Arabidopsis thaliana: one gene and its partner. The protein of the gene in region 1 purifies or fractionates together with the protein of each later gene. This does not show direct contact. Each region holds a gene or a part of one and is shown on either strand. Other genes may lie near its edges.

Region 1 (6,817 bases):
AAGGGCTCCTGTGTCTCGTGCGGCCTGATTCAGTTAGTTGTAAAGGTAAGAAACCTGATTCGTCTTATGAAGTTGTGAAAATTTAGCAGAACAGTTTTACTAAACCAAAAAAAGACTGAACCATCTTAAGTGACATATTCAAATATTCATTGAACCTTTGTACCGATTCCTGAAGCTGATCTAATTTTCTGGTAACAGTTTCAAGCTCTGTTGCCAGCTCCAAATTTCTAGCCTCTGCCTCTGATAAAGCTTTTCTCAAGTCTTTTGCTGCTTCTTGTTCAGAATGAAGCCAAGTCTGTATAAACATCAAACAAAAGAAAAAAATTAAGATTTGAATAAAGTCAAACACGATATAAAGGCACAACCGAAATTCAGGTTTTGGTTCCCGTACAAGTAGAACCATGTCCTGATGCATATCTAGACGATTAAGTAATTGAGCATGTAAAAGCAGAAAAGACAAACAAGGTTTCTCTCAAGGATACAACTTTTATATAAACTCTCCCTCACGTTCGATGGAGTTCATTTTCTTAACGGTTGCGACTTGAGAGATTCTTTTTCTTATACAGTTTCGTTATTAGTGTATATTAATTATTTTTAAGTGCATTACTTAATTAATCTATTTCAATAGAGAATTTCCCACTTGGCCTCTAAACTTACAAAGTCTTTATCTAATTGGTCACTGTCTCAAGCGAAACCGTTGATTATTTCTCTTTAAGTGAATGAAATCATTGACCTTAGGTCAGTAGGAAAAATATATCCGCAAGTTGATGATTATACAATTAATTAACATTTCCAAAAATCTCTGATCTGTCTTTGATCCGTAGTGAACCGTAAAGATTTAACCTTCATTCCACTCATTGGTGAACAAATCAAATACTTTTGTTGAACCGATGATTATTCTCATAGTTACTTTCTAATATCAGTTTATTTGTAAAATTACATACTTTTGAACATCAATTGGTTTGTGGGTTAAACAATTGATGGAAAACAATGAGGATGCTTGGACAGAGTTAAGTCAAGTTGGGAAGATCCAAAAAAAGAGTGGAAAGTTAAGGAACTGTAGTACTCAAACAAAAAACTAAGTGGACTAATGATGAAAAGAGACTCTAAAATTCATTTCCAAAGCTGTAGGTGTTCAATGTTCACCTCATGGAAAACATAATGATCTAAGGGACGGATTTGACTGAGTAAATACCGGACAGAGTTCTCTTGTTAGTTTTTCTAAGGTCATTTCTGCTTTTCACGAATGACCTGAACAGAGAGCCAAAACAATGTAAGCTTATAAGTATTGGGAACATAAAAAGATTGGCATAGCATCAACTAAGAATCATACCAGAAAAGCAACAGCCTGCCTGATATGGTCCAACTTATCCCAAGCTAAGCCAGCATACTGTAAGAGATTTAAACCGTAAGGTCATTTTTTCGGGTGAAAATGTCGAATAGGCAAAGGCGTGTGACGAGAACTTGTGGCTTACTTCATCGGTAGCTTCTACACACCATTTTTTTTAGTTCAGCCTGACCTGCTTTAACGTGGTCCCCATTTCTTGGTGTGCAAGATTCACGACATTGAAGAAAACTGCACAAGTTTATTACAGAGAAATCTTTACGTCAAAATTGGATTGAGAGATACTAAAATAAGTAATTACTAGTGAGCATGCCTGTTGAGAAGATGAAGATTGATGAAGGCAAATATTTGTGTGAATACTTTTCTGACTAAGAATGGTGGAACCTGCATCATGTAAACATAGAATATAATCACAATTTTTATTTTGAGAAGCCATTAGAATTGAACAATGCATGGGTTTTTGTTTATTCAAAGATGGGATTTTATTAAGATTGACTATATCATACAAAGGCTTAAACAAAAGCCCTAACTTTAGATTTACAAAAGCCCAAGAAAGGCCCATCAAATAACTAACTTTTGCAGAAGCAAATCTATCTGAACTTCATCCATGGATACGTTTCCAACAATACATGGGCTTGTCACTTATAATCGTGGCTTGTGTCTTCAAATTATAAGGTCACATAACAAAACTACATGCAGTCTATTGTTTTTCTCCTTCGTCGACGAACTACTTTTGCCGTTTAATAGATCATAAACACCACACATTTCTACCGTCACAGTGACAACACTTCCCAATTATTCTGATTATGGCGCAGGGGATTCGCCGGAAGATCCAATCTGTGCTGATTTTGCAAGAATCGATGGGCTTCCTCAAATTATCGGGCGCTTTTTACGACACTGCAATTGATCGAAACCTTCGCAAAAAATCGTAAAGTAAAAATCCTCTTTTTATTTTTATTTAAGACCCTTTAGTAGTTTATCAACAAGTAAAGATTGCATTTTTTTTGGTACATGTAATTTGTTTCAGAATTTATAAACAAGAATTTCTATCAATGTCTTTGAATTAACTTTGATAAATTCAAACTTTCTGATGGATGGTTGTCAATACAAGTTTCAGAAGAAGATTGAAACCAAAATGACTAGACAAGACGTTTGGTGTATGTCGACCAATGTGTTCTGTTTTGGGTAGCACTTTGCCTTAACTCTGTTTACACACACACGTTTATGTGTTTTGACTGTTGAAAAAAAAACGAAAGATATTTCAAAAGTCTACGCAGTACACAATTTGTTTGTTTGTGACCATTTGCAATGATTTTGGACCGCATTTAATTGCCCCACGACTGTAATGGGGATCACAGTTTGGATTTTGCTTCTTGTTTACCTTAAACTTCCTTTCATTTTAATGTTGAAGCAGAAGAACCTTTCTTTTATCTTTTTATAATCGACATGAAGCTGTCCTTTTCACTTGTTTTCAATGCTCTCACGTTGCTTCTTCAAGTTTGCATCTTTGCTCAAGCCAGGTTTTCTAATGAGACTGATATGCAAGCTTTGCTTGAGTTCAAGTCTCAAGTTTCTGAAAACAACAAGAGAGAGGTCTTGGCTTCATGGAATCACTCCTCCCCATTTTGTAATTGGATTGGAGTCACATGTGGCCGCAGGAGAGAAAGAGTTATAAGTTTGAACCTTGGAGGATTCAAGTTAACCGGTGTGATCTCACCCTCCATTGGTAATCTCTCCTTTCTTAGATTACTTAATCTTGCAGACAACTCTTTTGGAAGTACCATCCCTCAAAAGGTGGGAAGGCTATTTAGGCTTCAGTACTTGAACATGAGCTATAATCTTCTCGAAGGAAGGATTCCGTCTAGTCTTTCTAACTGCTCTAGACTGTCGACCGTTGATTTATCGTCAAACCATCTTGGACATGGTGTTCCTTCAGAACTAGGTTCACTTTCTAAGCTTGCCATTCTGGATCTTAGCAAAAACAACCTTACTGGAAATTTTCCTGCATCTTTAGGAAACTTGACGTCACTTCAGAAGCTTGACTTTGCATATAACCAGATGAGAGGTGAGATTCCAGACGAAGTAGCTAGATTGACTCAAATGGTGTTTTTCCAAATAGCACTGAATAGTTTTTCAGGTGGTTTTCCTCCTGCATTGTACAACATCTCCTCTCTTGAGTCTCTATCTCTAGCTGACAATAGCTTTTCGGGTAATCTTAGGGCTGATTTTGGTTATCTTCTACCAAATCTAAGAAGACTTCTTTTGGGAACAAATCAGTTCACTGGAGCTATTCCCAAAACACTTGCCAATATCTCAAGCCTTGAAAGGTTTGATATCTCATCTAATTACCTGTCTGGTAGTATCCCTTTGAGCTTTGGAAAGTTACGTAATCTGTGGTGGTTAGGGATTCGTAATAACTCTCTTGGAAATAACTCGTCCAGTGGTCTTGAATTTATTGGGGCTGTGGCGAACTGCACTCAATTAGAGTACTTAGATGTTGGTTACAATAGACTTGGAGGTGAGCTTCCTGCTTCTATAGCCAATCTGTCCACTACATTGACTAGTCTGTTCCTTGGACAAAATCTTATCTCTGGAACCATTCCTCATGACATCGGGAATCTTGTAAGCCTGCAAGAACTCAGCTTAGAAACAAATATGTTGAGTGGAGAACTTCCCGTCTCTTTCGGGAAGCTTTTGAACTTGCAGGTTGTGGATCTGTATTCAAATGCAATATCGGGGGAAATACCATCTTATTTTGGCAACATGACTCGGTTGCAGAAGCTCCATTTGAATAGCAATAGTTTCCACGGAAGAATCCCTCAGAGTCTTGGACGTTGTCGATACTTGCTAGACCTGTGGATGGATACAAATAGGTTGAATGGGACTATACCTCAGGAAATACTGCAAATTCCATCCCTCGCTTACATAGATTTGTCAAACAATTTCTTGACAGGCCATTTTCCAGAAGAAGTTGGAAAGTTAGAACTTCTTGTTGGACTAGGTGCTTCGTACAACAAATTATCAGGAAAGATGCCACAAGCTATAGGGGGTTGTCTTTCGATGGAATTTCTCTTTATGCAAGGAAATTCGTTTGACGGAGCCATTCCAGATATAAGCCGGTTGGTAAGCCTAAAGAATGTTGACTTCTCCAACAACAATCTCTCTGGCCGGATACCTCGATATCTGGCCAGTCTTCCTTCGCTGCGAAATCTGAATCTTTCTATGAACAAGTTTGAGGGAAGGGTGCCAACAACAGGAGTGTTTCGAAATGCTACAGCAGTTTCTGTTTTTGGTAACACAAATATTTGCGGAGGCGTCCGAGAAATGCAACTAAAGCCATGCATTGTACAGGCATCTCCAAGGAAGAGAAAGCCTCTGTCAGTTAGAAAGAAAGTTGTCAGTGGTATTTGTATAGGTATAGCTTCGCTTTTGTTAATCATAATTGTGGCTTCTCTGTGTTGGTTCATGAAGAGGAAAAAGAAAAACAATGCCAGTGATGGTAACCCATCTGATTCTACTACTTTGGGGATGTTCCATGAGAAGGTAAGTTATGAAGAGCTTCATAGTGCAACAAGTCGCTTCTCTTCAACCAATTTGATTGGTTCAGGCAATTTCGGTAATGTGTTTAAAGGATTGCTTGGCCCTGAGAATAAACTCGTCGCGGTTAAAGTTTTGAACCTCCTAAAGCATGGAGCGACGAAAAGCTTTATGGCGGAATGTGAAACCTTCAAGGGTATACGACATCGTAACCTTGTAAAACTGATAACGGTTTGTTCAAGCCTTGATTCCGAGGGAAATGATTTCAGAGCTCTGGTCTATGAGTTCATGCCAAAAGGAAGTCTGGATATGTGGCTGCAGCTAGAAGATCTGGAAAGGGTAAACGATCACTCGAGATCTTTAACACCCGCAGAGAAACTCAACATAGCAATAGATGTGGCTTCAGCTTTGGAGTATCTGCACGTTCATTGTCATGACCCTGTAGCTCACTGTGATATTAAGCCAAGCAACATTCTTCTAGACGATGATCTGACTGCTCATGTTAGTGACTTTGGTTTGGCTCAGCTCCTCTATAAATACGATCGAGAATCCTTTCTAAACCAGTTTAGTTCTGCTGGTGTCAGAGGCACCATTGGCTATGCCGCGCCAGGTTAATAAACATCTATATGCAAAAAGTATTGTTTAACAAAAGAGTTATCCAACCTCATTGTGTGTTGTTTCTTTGAAATATGTGCAGAGTATGGAATGGGAGGCCAACCATCAATACAAGGAGATGTGTACAGCTTCGGAATTCTACTTTTGGAGATGTTTAGTGGAAAGAAACCAACAGATGAATCATTTGCAGGCGATTATAACCTCCACAGCTACACAAAGTCTATATTATCGGGTTGCACGAGCAGTGGAGGCAGCAACGCCATTGATGAGGGGTTGAGACTGGTTTTGCAGGTGGGGATAAAGTGTTCTGAAGAATATCCGAGGGATAGGATGAGAACGGATGAAGCAGTACGAGAATTAATCTCAATAAGATCTAAGTTCTTCAGTTCCAAGACGACTATTACAGAGAGTCCTCGAGATGCTCCGCAAAGTTCTCCTCAGGAATGGATGTTAAATACGGACATGCATACTATGTAGACCCTTCTCAACTACTTATGGGGACACAGTAAAAGTGTATTTGCGTGTGCATCATCGAAACAGAACAAATGTTGGGAGGAGGAGAGACTACTAGTTATAATAAGAGAATAAATTAAAATCTATCTCTGCTGTAGCCTTTTTTTTTTTGTTGTGGGTGAAAATGATTATGATCACATATATATGGTCGTTGAATATCCTTTTTCATTTCACTTTTGATACACGTTAAAGTTCTCTGTGTCCATAAAGATTGGAGAAACCTTGTTTGAAAATGTTCACTAGTAGCAAAACTTACTTAACAAAATTCACTCATTAGAAGACAAATCACATTAATTAACACCGAGAAAAATGTTATTTTATACCTGAACTTTCAAAAAGTGGCCAAATTAACCGTGAATTTTTGAAATGATCGTTTTATACCTCAACAAAAAGTTGACTTCTAATTTAACCTATAAGTTATCGTTGACCCGGCCAAATCGACTCACCATTAACACTTCTTAACAGCTCTCCTAACAGCGTAACTAACAACTGTTTTTGTCCTTAAACCAACAATAACGGCTGTTAGGCCATGTTTTGTAACGGCTGTTAGGAACGCTGTTAAGGAGTGTTAACGGTGAGTATATTTGGCCGGGTCAACGACAAATTATAGGTCAAATTAGAAGTCAACGATAAATTATAGGTTAAATTAGAAGTCAACTTTTTGTTGAGGTATAAAACGACCATTTCAAAAGTTCACGGTTAATTTGGCCATTTTTTGAAAGTTCAGGTATTAAATAACATTTTTCCCAATTAACATCCATAATGTGACTGCTCATTCTTCTTTTACAGATAACACTTATTGTTTCG
Region 2 (7,426 bases), about 12 Mb from region 1:
CGGCTCTACATAAGTCTCCTTCTTTATCTTAATTTGACGCTCAAGCGACCTATTCTGTAATCAACCATAAACTTTGTCAGTTTTCTTAGATTGTAGTAGGTTGGATTTGTTTTTGAACTTTTAGTTTACCTAAGGAACAAAATTAATCATTCGTAACCATTTTAAGGAAACAAACTTAACCATTCATAACGATTGTTTCTGATTATTATCGATAGCAATTGTATTTAATTATTTTGATACTTATATCAAGTTTTGATTATATTCTAGCTGCATAATTTTAAAGTCTTTTAAACTATCCCAAGTGCAAGGCAAATTAAAGTAGTGAATAGGGTATCAACCCATAAATAAAGACGTAAACGCAAGAAGACTTATGAAAAGCTAAACTAATCTAGCTAGAGTTGTGATATAAGATGCTTTTGAGTTAAGAAATTATTTGTCATTTTAACTAAAAGAACACTATTAATAACATATAAACAAGTTAAACACGCAAATGCATTGGTGAGCAAATAATCAAGACGTATCTAATGTTGATATCTCTATTCATTATGTTAAATGAGTAATGGGTATTGAATATCAAAACTATCTTTAGTTGTTAATATTCGAATATAAGTACAAAATAATAGTACAGATAACTCCATGATTACATGTTTACAACACCAAAGCTGTAACTATATAAACTTCTACTATCTTATACTTAATTTGGCATTAAACTAAGTAGTGAAAAAGTAACCAACAAAACGGTAGGGATATAGAAGAACAAAAAAAGATAACTCAGATAATTTTACATAAAAATGAAAAGAATTTAAAATAAATATTTATTTGTATAGTTGTTTCTTGTTTTATTTTTCTACAACGTATATAATTAATCTAGAAGTTCTCTTTGTGGAAGTCAAACTTGGTAGTTGTCTTTCGAGAAAAATCCAAAGCTAGATTTTTTAATTCCTTTATCATTCCTGGCATTCCACAGTAGAAGACTCCTGCAATCAAAATTCATATTAGTATTTAGTCTAAATTCATCACTTTATTAATTATTATACAACATCACGTACATAACGAGATTAACGGTCGAGATTAGTTACCTATTCTTTTGCCGGGATGTTGAACAGCGATCTTCTTGTAGACTTGTCTCCAGTTAGGTTTAGCGAAGTGGGACTTGACACGTGTACCCGACACAACATCCACACCGTTCTTAGCGTGTTGCAACGACTGAAGCATGGCAATGAGAGCCACTCTTGCATCACCTTCCTCGTACACACTCGTGCAATAATTGTGAAGCTCGATGATTCCTTCCTCGTCTAACTCCGAAATCTCGTCCATTATTCCCTTGAACCACTCGAATGATCCTTGTTCCCTAGTCACCCAGTAGAAATAAGCTTTCCTTGTCTTAAACCCTTTACTATTGTTGTTACTGTTATTGTTCTCAATGTCGCTGTCGCGGTCAGGACCTTTCATGTTGTTGATGATGTCCTTAAGGATACTGATCATAGGCGTGGCTCCAATGCCGAGACCTACGAGGAGTACCACGTCGTATTTCTTGTAGTCTTGTGCGGGAGCACCGTATGGACCGTCGATAAGGACCTTCGGGAACGGGAGGTTTCCATCTCCTCCGTCTGCTCGGAGAAGACCGCTTTTACCGGCGGTAGGAGGTTTGCAAACCTCGGAGAAAACGGTCCTGAGCTTACGTGTCCAGTCACCGAGAGTGCGGATATGTACGCTCAGGTAATCGTCTCCGGGAGCTGATGTGATTGAGAAAGGATGCCATTCGAATGGAGATACGGCTCGGCAGTTCACCAACATGAACTGTCCACTTTTGTATTTGAATCCTTGTGGCTTCGTCATGTGTAGAGACAACACGTTCCCGGGGTAAACAGCCACCTGTTGTTACATATATATAGATTAAGTTCAAAGGCAATTTTCAAACTTTTATCAAAAAGAACTATAAAATAAGATGGTTTAAAAGTATTAGTTGAAATATTTCTTGAAACATAAGGTTTTCAAGAGATAAATAGAAATATATCTGACCTTGATCATCTTAACCGGTTTGATGCTTGATCTGAAAGCACGGAGCAGCCTCTCCGATGCATATAGAAGGATGGGTACAGCAAGATACATCCATGTCTACAAGAATCATACAAACAGGTAATAAATGTTATTAACCGGAAAAAGGAAAGAAAATAAGAAATTAAAACAGATAAAATGAGGTTTGAAGAGAGTACCGTTTTCTGATACCAAATCTTTGTGAGGTAGAGCTTGATACCATGGACAATGAGAAGAGCATAAACAATGATGAACAAATGGTGGGTGTACCAAAAGGCGTTGAAACCGGTAAGCTTCTTGAGGAAGTTAGGTAAGTTAAGCTTGTTACGTCGGAACCAAGGCGTCGCGAGTGTAAAGGCTATAGCCATTAGCACAACCATCACAATGCCAGTCCATCCTTCCACTCCTTTCACAAACCACCAGTAGCTAGTCGGTTGATCCCCAAAGTATTTTTCCATCGGCTCATAGGTGTCCTCATCCGCGGCAATTAAACGTGGAAAATCACACGTTAAATGGGCACCCGCATGGAGTAAAACACCGACGACTATCCCGCTTGCAATAACCTTGTGGAAGTTAAGACTATCATCAAAAGGAACGACAGTACCAAGCTTAGTCTTGTTCCTAAGCCAAGTGATGGTGTTTCGACAAACAGGCAACAATATGAGAGCCATGTTGAATTTGAGAGTCTCGGCGCCTCCTTTGGCGACACAAACGCAATAACCCATGACACCATAGGCAGCTTTGTTCTTGTACTGAATGAATTTATAAGTAAAGAGGCCACCACAGATGCCAAGCCATAACATCATTATCCATAGTCTCTGCCAATTGTCAAGTATGAAATATTTGATTTTCTCCGACCATCTCACTAAAGGGTTGCTCTCTTTTGCCGGTCTAAGCTTCTGACTTAACATCTGACTAAGTATCCTGCTGTCTCCCATCCGCACCGACTGGTTTGGTGCTTGTAATAGCAACATTTCCAAGTTTTCGATCTGTTTCACCAATGTCCATATCATATAATTAACTAAAACGTTACAATAAAACATTAATGTTCCAAACTGTTTTTCTTAAAAACACTTTTCATAGGTTTCTCCAATAATTAAAAAACAATATACTATCGGAAGCCGCCTAAGACTTTCTAAGCTTGGATTATAGTGTTAGTTCATATATTTTACAATTTTATTGGTCATTTCTTCATATCGTAACCACTAACCACCCATTGTCGAGATTTTGTTGATTGGTTTGGTAAAAAGTTCAAGATGGCCCAATAAGTTGGAAATTAAAAAACATCATGGTGACCCAATTTTGACCACTAAAGACTTCTAGAACGTTATGTTTTTCCACGTTTTTTCTAGTATTTTAAGAGTGGTTAAATTTACGACGTACATAATACCATTAGTGTGATTGAGTGGGTGAAAGTGGACCACACGTACCATAATAAACCCAGCATTGTCTGGGTCCAACTCTTCCATTATCAGTGCCGCATATTCTTTGGCTTGCTTTTGAATATTTGAGAGCTTGTTTGCAGAAGCACTAAGACTAATAATCTGCAATAAATTACCAACAAATTAGAAAACAAAAGCTAAAGTATTTGAAACATTAATAACCTAAGCTAAAGTAACAAAGACTACTACTCTATCTATCTATTACCATTTTGTCGTGTTCACATGAAGTTAATATATTGATGATGTTAATAGTAAACGTCAGCAGATAAAGTCAGTGGGGATTTGCGCGTGGACAAAATTGTCAAAATAATCAACCAAGAATAACGTATAAAATAAGAGAAAAAAAATTCAACCAGGAATATGAATAAATATAAGATAAAAAAAATGTATAAATATAATAAAATATTTGAAAAAGATAATTATTGAGTGGTGTGTGTGTTTTCTCACCTCAGCCACCTCTTCTTCTGTTACTCGCCCATCTTCATCTTTGTCCACCCTGACCAAACAGTGATGTCATATATTAGTTACAAATCCACCAAAACTCCACAAATGATTAATATTACTACTTTTGGTCCTTAAATTCTGATGACCGTTTAATTTTCATTAAGAGTCAATATTAAACGACAAATAGTGATTACGCGTTATATATTTATTGTGGGTTAGGTGAAGATATGTAAAAAAAAGCTTACATGTCAAAAAAGACTTGGAGTTTGGCATCAAAGCTTTCGTCTGAGATCTGTTCCCAGAATATCCTAAGCTGTTCCTTTGTGATTGCATCGCCGGAGACGTTATTCCGGCGAGCTAATGCTCTAAAGAGCTGGTCAGCGAAGTCTTTAGATTCCTTATTCATTCCTAGAGTAAAAAACAAAACAAAAATGAGACTAACACAAAAATGGAAACATATAGTACTAATAGAATTGCTTAGTAAGAAGTGATTTACTTACCTAAGCATTCCCAAAACTTGGCAGAGAGTAAGAGGCCGTTGGAATCAGCGGAGAGTTTATCGAAACGTTGGTCGACGGCCGGCCATGCGGCCGTCTTGGTGGCAATGAACTTGAGACCTTTGAGTGCGTGGATGGCCGCGGAGCTCGTGCGGTCAAACCGCCGCACGGCCGGGGAGGGACGTCTAGAGAACACGCGGCGGAGCTCGCGGGAGGCGTTCTTGATGCGTGAGGAGGTGCTTCGGAAGAAAGATAAGGAGGTGGTGTTGTTGAGGCTGCTCTCGAGAGTCTTCTTCGTAAGAAGGGCTAGCTCCGGGTCCTCCAGGTGGCCTCCACCTCCAGCTGCTTGTTGGACACTATGGACGGCCACCGAGTCGTCCCTGATGTCTAGCGTGATCTCCACGTACTCATCGTCATCACCACGGCCGCCAGCAACACTATTGCTTCTCTTGGGAAGATCGTCGGCGAATCTTGCGTTTTTCTTGGACGCACGTTTAGGCCGGCCAAGCGGACCGCTAAAGGCACCACGGTCGCTAGCGATGCTCTCCGTGTCCGAGTTGGTGTCCGAGTTAGCTCCTCGTAGAATCCCAAGTTCATGGTCGTTACTTGAATTGCCTCGTCTCATTTTCATCGAATTCGAGAAACCAAAAAGATCTCACTAGATTTGGCCAAGAAAACCACAGAGATCTATACAAATAAACACCCGTAAGGTTACTGTATTAGTTGATAGAGAAAAAATAACCGCTCTCAAAAGGTGTTTGATTTTTGTGTATGGAAGAAATTGATTTTGTTTAAAATATATTTATAGAGTGAAGGAGGAATAGATGAAATAAATGGCATGCAAATTGCCATTCTTCTGTGCTAAATCAGGGAAGGTAGTGGGAAACTATGGATGGACCGCTCCGGTCTGGTCAAAATCCTTTACTGACCATTTATTTTGACTTTTTTTTAATTTCCTTTTTTTTTTGTTCTTCTTCTATTCTTCATTTCTTCCTTACCTTTTTTATTTATACCGTGTCATACATTTCAAACACCGAAGTCATTTATACACCAACCCCGTGTGTGAATTAACAAAGAAAAACAACCCCGAGTTATGTCAAACACCGAGTCATTTATAAACTTTTGTTTGAAGAACTTAAATTGTTATTTTTCAATGTATTTGGCAATCATGCATATAGTATCTAACTTTTCCATAAGTCAATCTATAATTCATTTTGGATCGTATATTGATGATACTATATAAATATGTTGCTTCTAACATTTGGCTTGTAAACTGTATTCAAATGTATATCTAACCTACTGTACCGAACAAAAAATTATTATGGATTCTTGTACAAACTCCATGTGAGATGTATTGTTCATTTTCTGTTTTTTCTTTTTTCTTTTTTGATAAAAACACATTTCTGTTTTATGTAAATATGAAAGTCAATTAGCTAGATCATCAAACTATAACTATCCAGTCTATCATCGATGACTTATTTTTCGTTTGAATGTGGTAGTCTTAAAGGAACATCGTTCATGTTCCATAATGGATAAGAACAGATAAGCGATCCGATCGCTAAAAAGAGTGGACATGCTTAAGTTTATTTGTCTCTTGGGCACTGACCTTCTACTTTGGTTTCTTGTTTGGAGTATACTTTAGACAAATAACACAGTAATTAAAATGACTTTTGAAATGACAAAATGAGATTTAATTAATAAAATGAAAATTTTATGTTATTTGAGGTAATTCCTCTACATAAAGACAATTTGAATCTATTAGCATTATACAAACTAGCGGAGATATCTAAAGTTTATATTGTCTGCATCAATACGACTTACTTTAATTAGTATTGAAGTATTTAACTTAGTCATTCATAAACTCTATTTTATATATACTAAACACAGATTCTCGTAATAAAAATAAACCTAAGTGTATGCATAAAAACGGAATTAGGGTATAGATGCTCACTTTTGAGCTTTTATAGTTTTTGATAACAAAATTATAAAGCGTAATACATAAACTAAAATTCAAAGATCATAATTAAAAATTATGTGTTATTTTAGTAAACACTAGTCGGATAGTGTTATATTTAATTGATATAACAAGATTTTTGTATTGCTAGAGGTAATATTTCTATATATATAAACAATTTTGTAATATATTAGCATCACAAGAACTAGAGGGGATATCTAAAGTGTATTTTTGACATCAAGAAGATTTTTTTTCTAATATTGAAGTATTTTTATTTAGCTATTTTTAAGAGTAGCATGAAATAGAGGGCAAATGAGTAGTATAAAAACATAGAGTTATGCAGGCATCATGAACAGATGTTTTGTCTGTTAACCAAAACTTCGACGCCGCCCACGAGAAAAGTCAGTTTAAGGGTCTTAAATAATTTACCAAATGGAAAAGAGAAATAGATACATAGATGGAGACAAAACATATGATATAATTGAGCACATAGTACAAATCGATGGTTTGTTTTCTTTGTCCCTATTTAAATAGAACCCGATGAGAAAGTAAGGTGGCTAAAGAAGATATATAGTTATTATCAAAATAAGAAAAGAAGAAAAGTTAGATAGTCTAATAATCGCTGTTAATTAATTAGAAGACGAACCTTTGACTTATCTCCACTGCTATCAAAATTGTGGTAGTTCACAAATAAAATGACCCTAACCATACACTATTCACACGTTACGGCTACATATACGTTGTACTATACAACAAAACTGCAAACGATGTTTATCATCACCATACGGAAGATCATGACGCTTATTGGTGATCATTCTTTATCTTTTTTGAATGTTAAATTTCTTTAACGAAAAAAATGATCACTGTTAATAACGGCGTAACAAGGTTTATTTTTCGTAGTTAAAAATAAAATAGTATTGCTAAAGATGATTATAATGGATATGAGATGAAGGTATGATAAGACTAAGAGAGCAATTTAACAAGTCTTTTGATTCAGTTGTGCGGTAGCTAAATCGCTAAACCATCACATGTGCGATTGAACATTTGTTTGA

Evidence for each region.
Region 2: the proteins of EFR (region 1) and RBOHD purify together in Arabidopsis thaliana (affinity purification with western blotting; one study listed by BioGRID). This does not show direct contact.

What each region holds. Positions count from the first base shown.
Region 1 is NC_003076.8:6,919,706-6,926,522, forward strand, and holds EFR (EF-TU receptor), read left to right. Parts: upstream 1-1,803; 5' UTR 1,804-2,791; coding exon 2,792-5,492; intron 5,493-5,579; coding exon 5,580-5,974; 3' UTR 5,975-6,196; downstream 6,197-6,817. Other genes in the region: HDK (myosin), read right to left, coding at 1-24, 122-415.
Region 2 is NC_003076.8:19,395,210-19,402,635, reverse strand, and holds RBOHD (respiratory burst oxidase homologue D), read right to left. Parts: upstream 5,596-7,426; 5' UTR 5,052-5,595; coding exon 4,424-5,051; intron 4,332-4,423; coding exon 4,169-4,331; intron 3,976-4,168; coding exon 3,927-3,975; intron 3,582-3,926; coding exon 3,468-3,581; intron 3,027-3,467; coding exon 2,217-3,026; intron 2,119-2,216; coding exon 2,023-2,118; intron 1,876-2,022; coding exon 1,080-1,875; intron 978-1,079; coding exon 868-977; 3' UTR 575-867; downstream 1-574. UniProt on the Arabidopsis thaliana protein: Calcium-dependent NADPH oxidase that generates superoxide.